4 linked regions of the Schizosaccharomyces pombe genome follow. Changing the gene in region 2 together with the main gene of any one other region gives a genetic interaction. Each region holds a gene or a part of one and is shown on either strand. Other genes may lie near its edges.

Region 1 (3,351 bases), on a different chromosome or scaffold from region 2:
GCCAAACTTTTTTCGTAAATCTATTCAATCCATCCAACTAACTCCGAATGCAAATGTTTTAGTCAACCGAGTTCGTGGATTAATTAGCCAAGAATTTAAGGAATTCCTTTTACAAACCTTGCAAGCCGAAACATTACAAGGCCCTAATATCAATATGTTGTTGGAAACTTCTAGTTTTTTGGAAAAGCGACAAACGCTCAATTTTGAAATTTGGTAAGTTTTCAGTTTTGGAACACTTTTGTTTATATCCAATTCTAACCTTTTTTTTTAGCCTAAACAATCTTAATTTGCGAGAACGAAAGGCATCTCGCTACAGTTATCTATGATTACCAATGAAGAAAATCAAATTATTCGCCATAGAAAAAATATTGCTAATTTAATAACCCATTAAATTCCCTCCTTACTTTTAAAAGGAAAAGTTGTGTTTGCTTTGCTTGTCAGTAACTTGATACTATACGATGTTGCTTAACAACAAAAATTGGCTTTGTTAATTGAATGTCATATTATCATTTGTGAGTTCAATAATTTAATTATCATTAGTGAGAACAATACGAAAAAAGTTCTTATGTTAAATGGATGTAACAGACATAAATGCATAAACTGAGGAAGGTCGTAAAAAGTAATCATTTTATGGATGCTTTGGGCACAAATTTCTGCACTTCAATCGAATTCCTTTGTGCCTCTTTTTCACACCAGCGCTCAAAATTTACCAAAGACAACAACCTAGACTCATTTGATAATCCTTGAGACTTCAATATACTAACGTTGGCAAGGTTTGCAACACGCTCACGTTGGCTGTAATTCAAAACATTTTTCAAGGCAGGGCTGTAGGAAGAAGGAGGAAAACATAAAAGCGACATTGTCAACTCTAAAGAATTCAAAAACTTTTGATTTGAGGGTGCTAAAGGTGCTAAATTTTCATGTGCAAAGTTTAAACATCTTTCTACCGCTAAATCAGAGGTATCTTTCTCTTCAACAACTTCTCGTATCAATTCAAGCAATCTCAATCGTAATAATTCAAACAGAAGTTCTGAATTTGTGTCCAAAATCTATGTAGCTGTTAACTCGTAATCCTTACTTGCTTTCAGCATACCTCTGGCTCCAATTCATTCAGTTTGCATATTGCAGAGTTAATTGAACCTGATTTAATTAACTCGCAAATCTCTAAACGTTCTTTTACATATGGAGGAATATAATAATCCGTAATTTGAGCTTCTTCAGCAAATGTTTTTGCGGCTTCTTCGTCACCTTGAATCACCAAATAATCTAAAATCAGCGAATTCACGTCTCTGTACAAGCAATGATTAGTAACCATCAGTAACGTTCAGCGAAGCAACTATTTCAGTTACTTACGAATTATCGATATGGACACTTTTTGTCTGTTTCTCCCATTGTTCTGCGTCCGAACTTGAGCTACCGCTCATTGAAATATCTAAAGAAGAAGTGCCTACCATCTTTAAGCTCTCGTGAGAGAACGGTAGCAAATTCTATTCTATCCTAAACAAAGAGACCTTTTAAAGCTACCAAAAGTTATGACCGGATAAACGAGCCTCAATTCTTGATAAAAAGAAATTTAACGAAATTTATATAGGATAGAGATAGTAAACCCTTGAAAAAGGCAATTTGAAATTCGAATAGCCTGTGCAATGCTAAAGATTGAAGTTGCAAAGTAGCCATATCGCTACCTCAAAGATATGCCGTTTACCAAAATGCAACGCAAACTTCTAACTTAAAATATAATGTACTCTAACGGCGATTTTTGGTTTCACTACAACGCTGTATATAAACAAATTCAACGTTAGCTATGATTTTAATAGAAAAGGAATTTGTTTTTCTTAACGTTATGAACTACTTTTCGTATCAATAAATACAAATCTTTTTCTCATGTGTTACGTGCATTATTAATGGTCAAAACATTTTCTTATATTCTACTTAATTGAAGTATCTTTATAAACTCGTGCTCCCTAGTGTTTTTAAAGAGTTACGCATCTCAAAAACGTTTCATTGGTTTTTTATGTTTCATTTTTTAAAATAATATAATAGAATAAGGGCGCAACGAGTCTTAATACTGAAAAAAGTTGGCTTCTATCAAATATAAATGCTATGATGAGTGACGAAGATAATACCTATAGTGATGATGAAGAATGGTTAGATTTAGATCTTGGTCTCCCTAATAATGATATTAAAACTGCACCTATTTTAAATTCTTCGCTCCTTTCATCCGCCGTACATGGTGAAAGGTTGATTCAAGAACGACCAACTCATGATTTTGGAGACGTTGAGGCCACCGTTGATCGAACGGTTGAAAAACGTAGCCGCTTAAAGATCACTTCCGTTGATAGAAAGATTCGTCTTCAAATTCATCAGTTACACTTACTCTGTTTGACTTATCATCTTTGCACACGAAACACTTGGTGCGATGACAATAGACTAAATTATCTTGTGAAATATATTCCTCCTGGTATACGTGTCTCGCTTCATCCCTCTTCTCAAAAGTCACAAATGATTCGGAACAAAACTTTCCTACACGGGTTGGCTGGACTCGTCGAAGTTTGGAAACGGAAATATAAAATCACTACCAATGGATTAAGAAAACCGAATTATGGTTTACTACAAAACAATAGCCTCATCTCTGAATCTTTATCCCTTGAGGAGTTTTGTAAAAACTCAAAATTGCTTTCCGGTAGTAGAGATTATGGAACCCAGTTATTTGCATCTATTCTTCGTAATTTAAACGTTCCAACTAGACTAGTTTTTTCACTACAAGTTTTATCTTTTCGATTTAAAGGTGCCATAAATGAAGCAAGTAGTCATGAAATTGTTCCGGCATGGTCTCAGCAAATGGAAAATGATTCATCTAGCGATATCTCTGAAAGTGCACACATTACTTCTAGATTTCGCAAACGTAGGAAAATCATACAGCCTTCTTTTTCAAATCTTTCACATCTTGATGCCTCAGATATTGTTACAGAAGATACAAAACTAAAGGTAATTGATTCTCCCAAACCGGTTTTTTGGGTAGAGGCTTTTAATAAAGCTATGCAAAAATGGGTTTGTGTTGATCCATTTGGTGATGCTAGTGTCATTGGCAAGTACAGAAGGTTTGAACCGGCTTCCAGTGACCATCTAAATCAAATGACTTATGTATTTGCTATTGAGGCTAATGGGTATGTAAAAGATGTTACCCGAAAATATTGTTTACATTATTATAAAATATTAAAGAATAGAGTCGAGATTTTTCCCTTTGGAAAGGCTTGGATGAATAGAATATTTTCTAAAATTGGAAAACCAAGGGATTTTTATAATGACATGGATGCTATAGAGGATGCGGAATTACTAAGGCTTGAACAA
Region 2 (4,361 bases):
CTCCCCGTAAGATTGAGAGCGCTCCCAAAAATGCTCACACTGAGGAATGTGTTTTGGCAACTGTCGATCCTACTGAGAAGGTTCGCATTGACAATAACGTGGACCCCACTACTGCCACTTCGATGGATGAAGATGAAGATGAAGAAGGTGGACACCCCGGTGTTCAATGTGCTCAACAGTAAACCTGTCTTATTCTGAATTTCTTTTCATTCATTTTTTCAAAATTGACAGCATTTGGATTCGTTATCCTTTTAAGAAGAGCCTAGACAATTATTTGTTTTCAGATGTTCCTAATCTTTTCCTTAGGTTTCGAGTTGCTATTGCATGTATACCTTATTCTCTTGTTCCTTTTTTTCATCCTGTAAACTCATTCCCCTCATTTGGTGTTAGTTTTCTTTTATCTCATAAAGATGTTTGATATCTAGCTTCGGCATATCTAACATACTTGCCTTTGATAGTTATTCTCTCGGTTCTTATCTTGGTCTTTATACTTCGTTAATACGCTGCTTCAATAAATATAATGACTGCAAAAAGTCGATTTATAAATATGAATACATAAATTAGATCTTGCTTGCTTTGTTTGTAAAATTTTAGTATTTGTGAGACAATTACAATTACGGCTTTTGGAAAAAGTAGTAAATAATTTTTGATGCGCTTCTGCACTTTGAATTGTCTGCGAACTAAAATTATGTTTATTCACTCTACTTATCGTTGCAATACAATTCAAGTGGGGGATGCTACTAAATTGTAACTGTAAATACAAAATCGTAAAACTTGAAGAATATACCTTGAAAAAATTTTACTCTCGTTTTCTTACTAAACTATCATCCCTGGGTGATATGCGTTAGAATCCGATCTTTGTCAATAAAAAAGTTCAGACGGTCTTCCCGGTAATCTCTTGTCAACAATGTGTCAGGAGATACCACCCTATAAATAGGAGGCCAAAGTTTAATCTCGTCAACTTTATGTCCGATGAATGAAGAGTAGTCATCAACTGCGGCAGGTTTAGTTGCTCGTGCTTTTTTGTTTGCCAAGATGTAAACGGGCTGTGCTGGATTTCTTATGGAGATTTCTCGCGGTATGTGATTACTTAACCATTTTGGAAGGATGGGAATTTTCGTGTTGGAATTAACGGATTCTATAACATCAAAAGTATCATTATATGATTCGGGATCTTCGGTGATTAAATAGTCGAATTGGGAAATAAATAAAGAATTTGAAAGCATTTTAGGATCCTCAGTTTTGTCATAGTACCACGATGGAAGCTGTGAAAATCGAGTTATACCTGTCATACACGGATATACATCCATGTGTACAGAAACTAAGTACGTTAGAATAATCTAATTGGTGAAAAAGTTGAACTTACCTTGGGGATGATTTTCAATTTCATATAAACGAGTTAATGCTAGACCACCAGGGTAAGCGTATTGAAAAACATATAACAAAAAACTGCTTCCAATAAACCCGAAGATTATCCCCGAAAAAAACATTAACCTTAGAATTTCAAATATTTTCTTGCCAAATTTACTGGCATTAAAGCATAAGGAAGCCCCAATTGCACTAGCTGCGTTAAACCAAGGGATCGAATAGATAATAAAGCGCCATTCTTTATGGCCTAAAAATGAATAAACAAATATAAAGAAAAGGGGAACATATATTAAAAGACGAGCAGGCTTGATGTAAACAAAGCTGATTAAAAGGAAGAGCAATGTCGTGGGATTGAGAAATAGCCAAGGAAGTCTCACAAAGTAGTAGTAAAAAGGGCTTGTTCCCCAATCTGAAGATTTCCCTTCAACAACATTGAATAAGAAAGCTTCTAATTCAGGCCAACACCAAGCCCCCCAGAAATAGGAATCAATGAGAAAAGAAGCTCCCACTGCTGCTAATGAAGAAGAAATACCAACGAGTAGCAATTTTGATAAAGTAATCCTCCTCTGAAGCAATAATGGTAGAATCAAACACATTAGAAGTAAAGCTATTTCGGACCTAACAATCGCTGCGGCAAAAACTAAAATACTGATAGAGCCGTAATAATTATTTTTAAGTAACAAAGAAAGAGAGTGGTTCGTAGCTATTAGTCCGAAAATATTTGACAATGGTCTGGACATATAGTACACGAGGTGAAATTGAGCGCAGCTAAACAGTATAAACAGTGCTCCAGACAATGTGCCGAATCGTTTGCTAATGGAGCAGCTTACAGAATTCATACTCTCCCAACTTAAATACCCAATTGTCCATCTAGCGGCAAGTAATGGATTAACAAACCAAGAAGGTATATAGGACAAAACTGCTATAAACAAACTCGGTATGAAACTCCGTTTAACGGCTCCTGGAAACTCCAGATGATCATACTAAAATATGTGAGTAATTTAAATAAGGAAATAATTATCAACTACTACCTTTGACAAATCCCAACGATACGTCTGAATGTCATGAATCGCTTGCATAGCAAACGACTCTTCTACCTTTGTAAACGGAGTTTTGTACGAATAATACCCTATGCATGTCACAAGCAAAATATTTGCCAAATACCAACAAATGCTCTCTTTAGAAGTCATCCCGCTTCATCATTTATTGAAAGCATACAAATAGTTATTGGAGAAAGAGCAAAGGTGAATGAATATACGTAAATAAAGCAACGATTAATTTTGCTAAATCTAGTTTAAGGAGATTCAAGGTAATGATTTATTTGTTATAAACAAGGGTTGTTCGCTGCACTGTCTTCTAACTTTGCATCTTTGTGTACGTTAAGTATCTGCTTCTCCTCTTTTAATCGAACATTTTATATGTTAAATTTTAATTACCTCTACTATTTGCAAAACGAAATTCACATCTTTCATCAAAATTTAATTATTCCTTCTGTTTAGGGAAACTTTGAAAGAATACAACGATCCTCGTTAACTGATTTACCATGGTAGTTTAACGTATAGCGTTTTGGAGGAATATTCATTATAGAAAACGTGCTATTATAATTAAGGTGAGAGATATAATTGCATTTCATTTATTATTTAAACTAATTTTTCTTCTTATCGTTCCTGAAAATCGTTGCTAGTACGGTCTATAGAACGATAGATTCGTCGGTTCCAATAGCATGCTTTACCACGGGTATACACCAAACCTCCCCCCATATCATTACGAAACAGGAATCAATAAAAGCTAACGTCAATTGAACATTATGCTTCGTCAAACGCTAACTCAGGCGTCTCGGATGCGTCCTTGTATATCTGTAGTTGGATTTCGGGGTTTTCACGCTAGGTATGTTGTTTAGGTTTACTTTTTGTGATTCACAAACATATTCGAAGTTGAATGCATTTTTTCTAACGATTTTTTATAGTTCTCCTTGTGAGGCAACGCTAAAAGAGATTGAACAAAGGCTGAAGTCTATTAAGAACATTGAAAAGATTACCAAGACCATCAAAACTGTAGCTCAAACTAAGCTTACTAGGGCTCAACGTGCTATGGAAGCTTCTAACAAATACTATCGTGTATCTGATGAAGTGTTTAAGGAGGCTGGAACTAAAGCACCTGAGGAGGGTAAAACTCTTATGGTTGCTTGCTCTAGTGACAAGGGTCTTTGTGGTGGTATTCATTCTTCAATCTCTCGTCTTATCCGTAGAGAACTACATGATCCTAAGACATTTGAGAACACAAGTTTGTGTATTTTGGGAGAAAAAGTTCGCACTCAATTACTTCGTTTCTGTCCCGAATCTTTCTACTTGACTTTTGCACACATTGGTGGAGCTAGTCCTTCTTTTGAAGAAGCTTTACAAATTTCTAGTAACATTTTGGAACATGCTAAAGACTATGATAGAATTGTTCTCGTCTATAACAAGTTTGCTTCCGCTGTCTCGTTTGAAACTGTGATGAAGAACTTGTATACAACTAAGGCCATCAATGAATCCCCCAATCTCTCTGCATACGAGGTAAGTGATGAAGTCCATCAACCACTCATGGAATTTGCATTTGCCAATGCTATTTTTTCTGCCATGGCGGAAGCTCATTGCAGTGAAATGTCATCTCGTCGTAACGCCATGGAAAATGCAAGCAAGAGTGCTGGAGATATGATTAACAAGTTTTCCATCCAATATAATCGTCAACGTCAAGCCTCCATTACTAACGAACTTATCGATATCGTTACTGGTGCAAACTCTTTGGCTTAATTCTTGATCTCTTTGGTAAGGTTCAAATGCATGTTAAGATTTTTAAATTAAAGAAGTTTGTGAAATATAAGCGCTGAAGTCAACGATATTTCTTGTCTATTTAGCTTAACTTTTTACCTTTATACCATTTGAACCGTAATTCATTGAAAACGTTCAGATTAAGCTTACCTTTTGTTCTTAATAAATTTACGTCCATCTTTT
Region 3 (4,460 bases), on a different chromosome or scaffold from region 2:
GGATAGGGTATTTACTTTTGGTAGTAGGATGATATTTCAATCGGTGAATTAAAACCCTAGTAGCGTTGAAGTAGTAATCCTCTTCAGTAGAAGGCATAGTAAACAAACTCATATACGTATATTTGCCAGGCTCTTCTTTTAAGACGGCATTATCATTTTCCTCAACAAAGTTGTTTTTTAATGAAGTAAGCCGGTCATTAAGGGTTTGCTTATAATCGTGTCCGTTAAACACTAAGGTTGTCATCACAATAATCAAAACCACAGAAAACAACAGGAATTTGTAACGCGGAAGAGATAAAAAATTTGAAAGTGAAATTCGAGACATGATAAGAGATTAATTCAACGAACCGCTGAAACAATAGAATTTGAGACACGTGAAATTTTCGAAAGCCTTAAAAAAATGAAAAAAGGCTCTAAAGATGACTCCCTTTATGAGGATGTTACCCTCTAAAATTTATTTATTTCTTTTACCCTTAAACGACTTGCGTTAACAACCCTTTAAAGAAAAAATATCCGAGATTTATGTTTCATCACGCGGGTTGCTCTGCATTTGTCAATTTATTACCAGCACGTTGTTTGTACCATGTGCCGCGCTATATTCAGTTACAGTATTGTAATTCAAATTGTGGAATTGCCTTTTACAAATCCTAACGCTTTGTTTTTTCACAATCATCTTAGTTTGTGTGTAATGGTGTCAACTTTCGAGCTATCTGGATGTTGAAAATTATGAGCTTAAGCATGTAATAGAAATTGACACTAATGAATTAATTTGGTGAAGTTGTTTCAAACAGTGAAAAATCTGACTGTTAGCTGGAAAAGTATTGGAAATACCATTTAGCTTATTGGTAAAGTAAATATTGTGTAAATTTAACGAAATATATTTTGTCGATAAATCTATTCAAATATTCTTTCTCCTTGACCTGATAGACCTCATTAATCGGAAAATGCTTCTAGGTTTGTAAAGACACAAGTGTAAACAGTGGGTGCACAGACGTAATGGAACCACCGTTAAAAAATACATCTTTTAGACTTAGCAACTAATCTATATCTTTATAAGGCCAAAAGCCAGTGTAATCAATATAAAATAAGGACATACCAATACTTTGTAGGGCCAAAAAACAAGATAAATAAAAACTTAGTATAATCCGACACGAATGATTCAATAAAACTTCTATCAGCATTTAACAGAAAATGGCAGCTGCGGTGAAATGCAAATTATTAAAAAGATTTATTAACGCCAAACTGTTATTCCAATCTTCAATATTGCATTGGTAAATTGCCAAAGCAAATTAGTTGAACCAACAGAAACAGCTTCAAAGTCAATGTGAAATATATACAATATATAACAATTATTGATGGACGATTGTGTAAAACAAAACTCCCAGATATCTCGCTATAAAAAACTAACCTGAAACTTTGATTGCTATGGCACAACCGCTATATTAATTAGGTATGTAAAGATTAAAAAATAGTAAACATTATTAGAGATTCAGATAAAGAAAGGAAGATTGACGGAAAATTATACGGCGCTTTGTTTATATATATAAAATTTTTTAAAACACAAACAAATTAAACAGACGGATATAATGAATAAGCAACTTAGTCAATCAAGGCGTAAAACTTTTGCCATAGTTCATCGCAGCGGTTTTCAACCCAACATCCAGCAAAGTGAATTACCAAATCACCTTTTTGCCATTCCATATTTTCCGGACCTTCGTGAAAAGCATTTATTTTTCTTTGAGGAATAAGGCCAACCAGCGAAGCAAGTTGTGAATGCTTAGAAATCAAATATCCAAGCATGTCTTGTTCATTATTGGCTTTCGCACATTCTGCAACAACAGGATCTGTCCAAATATCCAAAAACAAGGCAGTAGCAGGTGAATTACGGAACAAGATACTACCTGCGTTTAATCCATTGTGATCCTGTGAGATTATGACCATGAGATTTTCGATATCTTTTAAACTATAATTACTTGGTGTATAACGCAAATCCCCGTTAGCATTTATAGGCCGTTTAGTGAGGATGGTATTAGTAATTAAGGTCTTTTGCAAGTTCTCAGGTTTCAAAAAGGAGTCTTGAAGGGAAAGATGGGTATTAGTAATAATTGCATCCTGATCCAACAACCAGATCCATTCCGCTTTGGGGTATTTCTTCATAGTTTGTAAGACGGCGGGCATCTTGGACCAAACGGCGGGAATAGGGAGGCCAGTAACATTGACATACTCAAAGTTGTAGTTTTGTTTGGTACTATAGTCAACTCTGTTCTGTATAGCTTCTTCAAACGTATTAGCTCCATTATTGTAAGAAGTGTGTCCATCACTAACTAGTAATAAGACAATATTTTGACTGGCAGGATTTTGCTGAGGCTCTGACTCGTATGACGCCTCGTGGAATGTAGTGCTTGTGGCCACCAAATGAGAGTCTAACGGCGCCAACTCAAACGAGTGATTAACGGATGGAGTGCCAATAGCATCGGAGAGCATGGGTGCAATTTGCTGATCATACAACTGGTTAACCTTCGACACCAAATCAACGTCCACAAAATATATCAACGAGTATAGAAACGCGCCAGCAATCAAGCCGACCGTTAAAAATAAGAAAAAAAAACGACGTGGAATCCTGGATAACATAAGTGCCATCTTTAGGTTATAACAATTCTTCAGTAAATCAATTAGAAATAATGAAACAATAACTGGAAAACTTTTTTTGAAAAAAAGGCTTTTCCGAAATCTTAAACAACCACTAAATCAGATTGTATTAAGGTCTTATCGAAACGACCTATAAAATAACGAACGAAATCTCGAGATATAAAAATAAATCAAAGGGTTAGAGGTATATGCTGATGGTAAAAAAAAGCTTCCTGATTGTCTTAATGAGGCTGAATACGCGTTAAGCTTCCTTTGACTAGCTATCGTTAATTTTTTAAAGGCTTTGTTAAATATTTTATTAACGTCGGCTCCTTTGCCGATGGTAGAGACAACCGTAACCTTGCCTAAATTTTTATAACCCAGCAACCGGCACGTTACTTGCTTATAAAACTTTCTACGGGTAGCTATTAGAAAAATGAAATTTATGGAATGAAAACTTAGCTAAAATATTCGGATTTAATTTTGTGTCACTGATTTCATCAAAATATCTTGACCTTATTAAACAACTACTTCGACTTTTCAACAAAGAGAGAGGCTGACCAATATAGTTGAATTATACACATCGCTTTCTTTCTGTGACCGGATTTCCATCACAATCGCTACTACTATTTAACAAGGTTAACAATAATAAAAAAATCGAATAAAAGTTAACAATTATACCTATCTCTAATATACTGAACAAAACATTAGCCAGCCTTTACACTGCAGCAGCTAAAACTTATATTCCCTTGCCCATGATACTCAGCAACAACATCATGAATACAAAAAAGTAAGTCATCCAAGGAAATTTATGAGTTCAAAAAATGGAATAAAGTATTACACATTCACTACTTTAGATTGTATAGCTCCAGGGTAAACTGTCGTTCCTTAATACTTTTGTTACTTATGCACCGAATTCGACTATTTCGCATTCATTAGTGATAGACGTGAATCAACAAATCCAAGGGGTGTAGATAGTTTATAATTTATCTTGTAACGCAGTTTGTTTATCACATACTCTCTTAGAATTTGACAGTCATGACAACGACCACGGTAGCAATTGCATTTCATATGCATAATATGAAAATACTTTTTTTTTACGATAGCTTTTAATCGGCTTGGTGAAACCGTTGTTAATATTCAAACAACATTTTGATGTCTTCAATTGACTGAACCTGCTGCTTTCCTTCCGACATGCCCAGGGTCCCAGTAATAAAATTTTTGCGTTCTTGTATTTTGAGCATCCTTTCCTCAACAGTATCACGTACAATATATCTCGTCACAAATACAGGCTTTTCCTGTCCTAAACGATGAATACGATCGATGGCCTGTGCTTCCACTGACCAGCTCCACCATGGATCCATAATAAAAACATGGTTGGCACAAGTAAGGTTTAAACCAACCCCGCCTGCCTTTAAAGAGATAATCAGCACGTTAACATCAGGATCATTTCGAAATGTCTCTAAAGCCGTCGACCTCATTTGTTGTGACATGGTACCATCGAATCTAGCATACCCCATCTTCTCTGACTCGAGAACGTCTGCGATAATATCCAGGAATGTGGTAAACTGTGAAAAGATAACGACCTTTTCAGGTTCAGAACTATGAGTTAATTGACGCAATTGTCCTAAAAGGCCATTAAGTTTCACTGATTGTAGCCTATTCCAATATTTCCATTTTACTTCCTCACCGACTAAAAGCGTAGACTGTGTTCCGTTATTTTTGACAAAAAAAGGTTTATAGACATCTTGCTCATTGAAGGGTTGACGACATGTATGACAAAGCGGAGGAATTATGTTTCTTCTTTTTTGATACTGAATATGTTCTGACAA
Region 4 (7,139 bases), 1.4 Mb from region 2:
CTTTGAACATGGATCTAGGTCTTCTACATGAAAATATTACTCTTGACAGAATTCCCAAAGTTCCCGAGAATCATGTCTCTTTGATTGATATCGATGAGGCTCGTGCCAAAGAAGACCCCAACTTTCAAATTCATTCAACTCCTTCTAGAATGCCTCCTCACTATGTTCAACCACACCCTCCGTTCAGTGTCTTTCCCGCCCCTATACTAGACGTTCGTGAGCTCACTAAACCAGGTGCTGTCAAACGTGTGTTCCATTTTGAACTAGACGTTTCCAACTATCCCCTTCCTGAAGGCGAAGAGTGGATGGTTGGAGGGTCGTTTGGTGTAATGGCTCCCAACAACGAAGAGGATGTGGATGAGCTTTTACAATTACTTCATATCAATCCCGACCAGGCAGATGCCCCTGTCCTTTTAAAAACCGATGGAGGTCGTTGGCCCACCATCTGGGCAGAAGACACACCTAGAGAACTCGTTACAACCAGGCGTGAGCTTCTTAAATGGACCGTGGAGTTTATGTCTGTCGCCCCAAAAAAGCAGCTTATTCGGTTACTTGCCGAATACGCCAAGGATGATACCGAGCGGCAAGTTTTGTTGTTTTTGGTCAGTCGTTTGGGACAACGTGCTTTCTGTGATTTAAGGGACCACAACGTTACACTTATCACTCTGCTAAAGGCTTTCCCTAGTGTTCAACTTCCTCTTGATCACCTTTTAACCGTGCTTCCCCAGCTTATGCCTAGATGGTATTCTTTGTCAAACGATCCCAAGGTCAGTAATAATGTATTGGAATTTGCGGTTACAGTTGTTGAAATCAATAAAGTTGAAGGAGGCACTCGTTCTGGTATTGGTTCTGGTTTTTTGAAAAGATTGGCATTGAGATTTTTAAATGGTGAACGAGATCTCGTCCTTCCAATGTACCGCGGTCTGCACAAAAACGCATTTGCCACACATTTTGCTTCTGATGGCCCTATGTGCCTAATCGGTGCCGGTGTAGGTGTTGCTCCCTTTAGAGGTTTTGTGCAACGACGTCTTACAAATGCCACTTGTGCTGGTAAAGTTTGGGTTTTCCATGGATGCCGCGACCAAGAATTGGATGAGCTCTATCATGGTGAGTGGGAAAACCCGCTTCAAAAGTCTTCAGACGATGATGCATCTTCTACAGTCAGCCAACAAACCGAAACTGAAATGGATTCCTTCGAAGTTAAAAAAGACGGTACTAGTGGCCCCAACCATCTTGTTGTTGAATCACGTTCTCACCAACATGCCTATGTACAGGACGAGATTCGACACCGTGGTGACATTGTATGGAGTGTTCTTAGTCATCCTCATGGGAAGGTTTATCTTTGTGGTGGTAAAAAGGGATTTTTAGATGGTGTTGAAAATGCCTTGATTGATGTTTGCGTTCAATACGGAAAAATGAGCAGGCTGGAAGCTACCCAACAACTTGCTCTTTGGCAAAGTCCACTTAACCTTAAATACATAAAGGAGATTTGGTAAATGAATGAAGTTGTTTATCCACGTTACCAATATTTATTTTTTCGTTAAAATTTTTTTTTTGTTTACTATCTTTTCACATTATTTTCGATTCTTTTCTGTCTTTTTTATTATCGTTTCGTTTTAAAAAAATCTTTTTTGAAATGTTTCGAAAGCAATATTTGTATCTCAAAATGGCATTTTAATTCTATATTGGCTTGGGCATATCTGTTAAAACATTTTTTGTTTAGCCTTTTGTTTCCATAAATAAAAATATAAACAAATTTTAATAGTTGATTGTAGTAATATAATTTACTCATCTTATTCTCTTGCTTTGATTTATCCTTCATGTTTTCGTATACTGTTAACTAGCAATCTTGAGACTGTAAAGTAAACATTAAGGATTCGATTCTTTAGTGAACCAGTACCTAGTATCTAATTATTTATTAGCGAATTCTAAGGAAATTTGTTTTGCCCATTAATAGCGAAACATCACTCCATGTCGTACAATCGTTAACGCCGGTAACAGAACTCCGATTAAGTTCAGCCGTTGGGGTATCCATGAGCATACGAGCATAGTTCGCAAGCATTATCATTTTAGGACTCTTCACAATCTTAAGTTATTATTTAAGTGTTAATATCTTTAATTTTACTAGATTGCTTAAAAATTGAGAGTTTGACTAGCCCAGTAAGCAATCGCGTGTTGCACGCAATAAGTATTAGTACGAAAACATACTATCCCTTTATAAGGCTATTTCATGAAGGCGCTTATGGAAGGAGATAGCTTTTTTATTCCTGCTTTTAATGATCAGTGCTCATGAAACCTGTGCGAAGGGGACAAACCGATACTGCTTTGGATATAAGTTCCCATGCCAAAACTAATGGTGACTTTATCAAAAAAATGAATACCACTGATTCAAAAAGGCTCAAGTTACTTGAGGATTTGAAGGGAAAGCTCGAAGTTGAGTGCAAAATACGGGATGGCGCTGAAACGTTGCTGCAAGTCTTCGACACCAATTTTAAAAAAGAAACAAAAGAACGTAAAGAAATGTTAAAAAAGAAATGTACCGATGAGCTCGAATCATCTAAAAAAAAGATAGAGGAATTAGTTTCTAGCATTGAATCTTTCCAAGGAGAAAATGGTGAAGCAAAAACTGGCTCAACCAGTCTCACGAGGTCTGCTTCTGCGACTGTCAGTCGAAAGAGCTCATTGCAGGAAAAGTATAGTACGAGATTTTCTTACAAAGCAGGATGTAGCGATAGTTGCAGTGTTACAGTCAGTGGGACTGGTGAATTAATAGGTCCTACCAGAAATGCGCATAGCAATTTAACTCCTACCGTCATTCAAAGAATTGACTTTGAAAATGTCAACGAAAAAAATAATTCTTCTTCTGAAGATACTCAACCTAACGGAAAACGTCCTTCTAGTTTGCAATCGAATTTCTCACAATTTCCATTAAATCCTTGGCTTGATAATATATATAAGGCTTGTCTTGAAGGCAGTATGAAGGATGTAATCGATTCCTCAAATAATTTATGTGAATACTTACATGAACATTCTGATCCCGCTTATGCAAAAAACTTCTCCTTGATTACTCCGACCATACTTTCAATGCTCGAGTTGAATGTCTCTGAAGTTACGGCTTCTGTTTATAGACTACTAAGGCATTTGTTTCTTGACGCAACAGCATTCTCTTGTTGTCAAATGTTGAATTTACCTTGGATCTTGTCAAAGTCTCTACTTTCTGGTACCGATGCATATCAAATTGAACGAGAGCAAGCATTCCGACTAATCCGAACTCTTTATTTTCTTTCATCAACTGAAGGACATGAGGATTATCTTTCAGGTATTACGAGGACTATCATTTCAATTTGTGAGCATGTATCAGATGTTAGTCGTGGAATTGCTGTTGAAACTCTTATCGAGTTAATGATTATTCGACCAAAAATTTTATTTAAAGCTAATGGTTTAAGGGTTTTAATGATCTCCCTAATCGATGGAAGTATTTCTGAGAATTTAGCAGCTAGTGCTGCACTTGCATTAGTATATCTTTTGGATGATCCTGAAAGCGCTTGTTACGTAAATTTACCCTACGATATTGGCATTTTACTTTCACCTTTTACTAGTTCTTCTTCGCGAGATACATTTAATTCCTCTGAGGAACAGTCTGAACAAGCTGCAAAAGCCATGAAATCTTCCGCCAAAGTTGCCTCTGTTTTGCTTAATTCATGGTCTGGATTATTGGCTTTGTCTACCAATGATTTTCAGGCTCTTCGGTCGATTGTTGATACACTTCGGGTTCCATCCTTTGCTCCACGAAGCGATGTAATTGATCTTTTCTTTTTAATTTTCCAAGTTGAGTATTCAAGTTGGTCAGAGTCTTTTTTGGCCGGAAAACGATTAACAGTCGTTAAAAATCAGGCTGTATCTAATGATGATAACATAAACATGGTTAATATACCGGATGGTTCCAACAAAAAGTACATGTCGCTACGCCAACATTTTACAGCCGTCTTATTATTTATATTTTTGGAGCTCGGTTTGGTTGAATCTATTGTATGTATGATTAGGGCCAGCGATGACCCATCAGCCTCACGTAAAGCTACATATCTTCTAGGAGAGGTATTGAGGCTGTCTGATGAGCTACTGCCGATTCATTTAGGAGCCAAAATACAATCCTTGCCATCTTTATTTAATATGGCTTCTCAATTTACTGCCGAAGACAGGTTTGTTGCCACTTCTGTTCTTCAATCCATTGAAAGTTTGAATAGAGTTAAATTCCATTCTGCAACACAACCTTTCTCGCAGACAACCTCTCTTCTTTTTAAGGAGCAAAAAACTGATGGATCTTTTCGGGGGCAAAGACAGGTTGAGCATGTTAAATTGAAAATGGGCATGCAGATTGATGATTCACATTTTCGTAGTATGCTAGCTGAAACCAACGTGTTAGCTACAAAAAACTATCAAAAATGGCGATGGGATACACTTGTCCAAATTATGGAGGGTCCATTGCTAAGTCCGAAACGTATTGATGAAACTTTGCGAACCACAAAATTTATGAGACGGCTTTTAGCATTTTATAAACCCTTTTCCAACAGATTTTCTTCCATACAAAACACTAAACCAAATCAAAAATTTATAAAGGTTGGTTGTCTTGTTTTCAGGACTTTACTAGCCAATCCGGAAGGCGTTAAATATCTTTCTGAAAGCAAAGTGATTAAACAAATAGCAGAATCTCTTAGCCAGATAGACGGATATTCAGAACAGGTTTCTGAGCCGATTTTCTCGAACAGTAGGCTTCAGAAAACCCTCACCCACGGTTACTTTCCTATGTTAAAAGTATTGTCAAGCCAAAAGGAAGGTCATGCAATTATGGAACGATGGAGGATTTTTACTACACTTTACCATTTGACAGAATTGAGGAACAGAGACGATCTCATAATTATTTTTCTGACTAATCTTGATTATCGGCTAGAGGGGCACACACGAATTATATTTTCTAAGGCGCTTAATACCGGGCAACAGGCTGTACGCTTAACTGCAACCAAGCATCTTGCGGCTTTAATCAATTCTGAGTCTGCCAATGACAACTTAAATCACTGGGCAATTTCTCTATTGATATTTCAACTGTACGATCCTTGCTTGGAAGTATGTAAAACAGCAGTGAAGGTGTTGAATGAAGTTTGTGCTCGAAATGAAAACTTGCTGGCTCAAGTTGTTCAGCTTCAACCTTCATTGGCCCATTTGGGTGAAATTGGCTCACCTTTACTTTTACGTTTTCTTGCTACAACTGTCGGATTTCATTACCTTTCTGAAATTAATTTTATTGAACATGAACTCGATAATTGGTACCATCATCGAAATATAGATTACGTGGATTTATTGGAGCAAAATTTTTTCCTTTCTTTTGTTTCAAATCTCAAAATTATTGACAAGAAAAACAATGAACCAGATGAAAATATACTTCCCCTACACTTTTATGGCGAATTAGTCAAATCTCCACAAGGTTGTGAGGTTCTCGAGTCTTCTGGGCATTTTGAATCTTTTATGGGTACCTTGGTGGAATTTTACGATAAACCGTTAGGAAATGAAGCCATCAGGCAGTTAAAGAGTGCTCTTTGGGCTATAGGAAACATTGGAAAAACCGATCAGGGTATTACGTTTTTAATTAACCATGATACGATACCGTTGATTGTCAAATATGCCGAAAATTCATTGATTCCTACTGTTCGAGGAACTGCTTATTTTGTATTAGGCTTGATTTCCAGGACTTCTAAAGGCGTTGAGATACTCGAATCACTGCATTGGTATAGCCTTATGTCTTTAATGGGCACTTCACAAGGAATTTGCATTCCGAGACATGCTGGACAAGTATTATCAACTCCAAGGAGAAATGTTGAGTTTGTAAATGAGCGCGTGCCAACTCCTGAGTTTTCTTCATTACTTAGCTCTTTAACTAACTCAGAGAGAGAGGTAATTAGGCTCGTTTCCAATTTGTCAAACCATGTTTTAACAAACGAGTCAGCACGGCAACTAACAAAGATTCGTTCGAAAAATGCTAAAGTTTTCTCCTCTAAACGTTTGGTGAAAGCTTGTATGACCATTCTGGGAAAATTCCATTACCGTGTTCAGATTCAACAATTTGTATTTGAATTATTTCCTTACTCGGTTTTATTGTCTTCCTCAACCTCACAGGACTTAAATGAATCCCCGTCCAGGCCGAATAATTTGTCAATTTCCGCATGAACTCCAAATTTCCGAACCTTCACTTTTCTAAAATTTTTGTAAATTAATGATTTTTATGATTTCTTATTATCGTTTTTCTTCTGTTATTCAATAAGTTTGATCTTTAGTTTTCTGCTTATTCTTTGACCTTCCCTCTTTGTTTCTTTTCATAAGTTTATTTACTAAGTTAGACTAGTGTTTACATAAAAGGTGATTGCGCTAGGGTTAGTAATGAGTTTATAATTGTTTTTGGATGTTTAAATTATTAATCTAATATTTATAAGACATGTCTGATACTTGCGGATATTTTTTTGAATTTGTGTAGTTTAGGTAGGCCTGCTTAGCCCCTGGCCTCCATACGATAGTAATATGAACAAGAATATATTGCCTTTCATCTTTTCGTGCTAATTTTTACTTTGTACGCTGTTATTATCAATATAAAAATTGCGTACCACAAAGGTGTACTTATATGTAATACCCATGCTTAGCAAGTTATGCTCAACTTCCACATACAACGTATGCAACGAACGGCAGCCTCATGTTATAGTAAATTAGCAAATCCTATATAACTAAACGAAAGTGTATTTGCTTAACATATCGTGGAGTTTGGGCATATTTCTGCTCACAAGTAAATCTCATACAACATCGCATTTGGTTTTAATTTGTTTTGGTTGTTCGCAAGGAAGAAGATTATTCTTTAAAAAAAAGGAAATAAATTTATAAATATAATTTGAAAAAAAATATATATATATATATTTGGGTTTTTACACTCTTTTGACTACATAACTCGATAGGTTTTCGGATTTGTTTAATAGACAAAAGAAGGAAGTACGTTTAAGGGTTTATTTCTATGGAACATTATTGATTTTTTTTTTTTCTTGCTATGTACAATGTGACATACAGGTTACTTCGTCTAAGCTTGATTTCTTCTCATTCTTTAA

What was found.
Region 1: mutations in alg12 (region 2) and gid8 together harm fitness more than expected from each alone (negative genetic interaction), as found in Schizosaccharomyces pombe (one large-scale study listed by BioGRID).
Region 3: mutations in alg12 (region 2) and gmh2 together harm fitness more than expected from each alone (negative genetic interaction), as found in Schizosaccharomyces pombe (one large-scale study listed by BioGRID).
Region 4: mutations in alg12 (region 2) and ste20 together harm fitness more than expected from each alone (negative genetic interaction), as found in Schizosaccharomyces pombe (one large-scale study listed by BioGRID).

The regions. Positions count from the first base shown.
Region 1 is NC_003424.3:4,594,542-4,597,892, reverse strand, and holds gid8 (ubiquitin ligase complex subunit protein), read right to left. Parts: upstream 1,652-3,351; 5' UTR 1,455-1,651; coding exon 1,354-1,454; intron 1,290-1,353; coding exon 1,094-1,289; intron 1,050-1,093; coding exon 624-1,049; 3' UTR 513-623; downstream 1-512. Other genes in the region: tea5 (serine/threonine protein kinase Ppk2), read left to right, coding at 1-213, 272-326; DNA repair protein Rhp41, read left to right, coding at 2,104-3,351. UniProt on the Schizosaccharomyces pombe protein: Component of the GID E3 ligase complex recruiting N termini and catalyzing ubiquitination of proteins targeted for degradation.
Region 2 is NC_003423.3:1,082,761-1,087,121, forward strand, and holds alg12 (dolichyl-P-Man:Man(7)GlcNAc(2)-PP-dolichyl-alpha-1,6-mannosyltransferase), read right to left. Parts: upstream 2,595-4,361; 5' UTR 2,559-2,594; coding exon 2,400-2,558; exon of another isoform or gene 2,352-2,399; coding exon 1,367-2,351; intron 1,322-1,366; coding exon 825-1,321; 3' UTR 556-824; downstream 1-555. Other genes in the region: DNAJ domain-containing protein Mas5, read left to right, coding at 1-182; F1-ATPase gamma subunit atp3, read left to right, coding at 3,176-3,255, 3,335-4,160. UniProt on the Schizosaccharomyces pombe protein: Mannosyltransferase that operates in the biosynthetic pathway of dolichol-linked oligosaccharides, the glycan precursors employed in protein asparagine (N)-glycosylation.
Region 3 is NC_003424.3:167,211-171,670, forward strand, and holds gmh2 (alpha-1,2-galactosyltransferase Gmh2), read right to left. Parts: upstream 2,846-4,460; 5' UTR 2,641-2,845; coding exon 1,600-2,640; 3' UTR 556-1,599; downstream 1-555. Other genes in the region: alpha-1,3-galactosyltransferase Otg1, read right to left, coding at 1-325; ATP-dependent chromatin remodeller/ubiquitin-protein ligase E3 Rad8, read right to left, coding at 3,762-4,460.
Region 4 is NC_003423.3:2,473,850-2,480,988, forward strand, and holds ste20 (target of rapamycin complex 2 subunit ste20), read left to right. Parts: upstream 1-2,029; 5' UTR 2,030-2,289; coding exon 2,290-6,219; 3' UTR 6,220-6,613; downstream 6,614-7,139. Other genes in the region: SPOM_SPBC12C2.03C (methionine synthase reductase), read left to right, coding at 1-1,496; SPOM_SPBC12C2.01C (uncharacterized protein), read left to right, coding at 7,082-7,139. UniProt on the Schizosaccharomyces pombe protein: Component of TORC2, which regulates multiple cellular processes to control cell growth in response to environmental signals. TORC2 is required for cell survival under various stress conditions.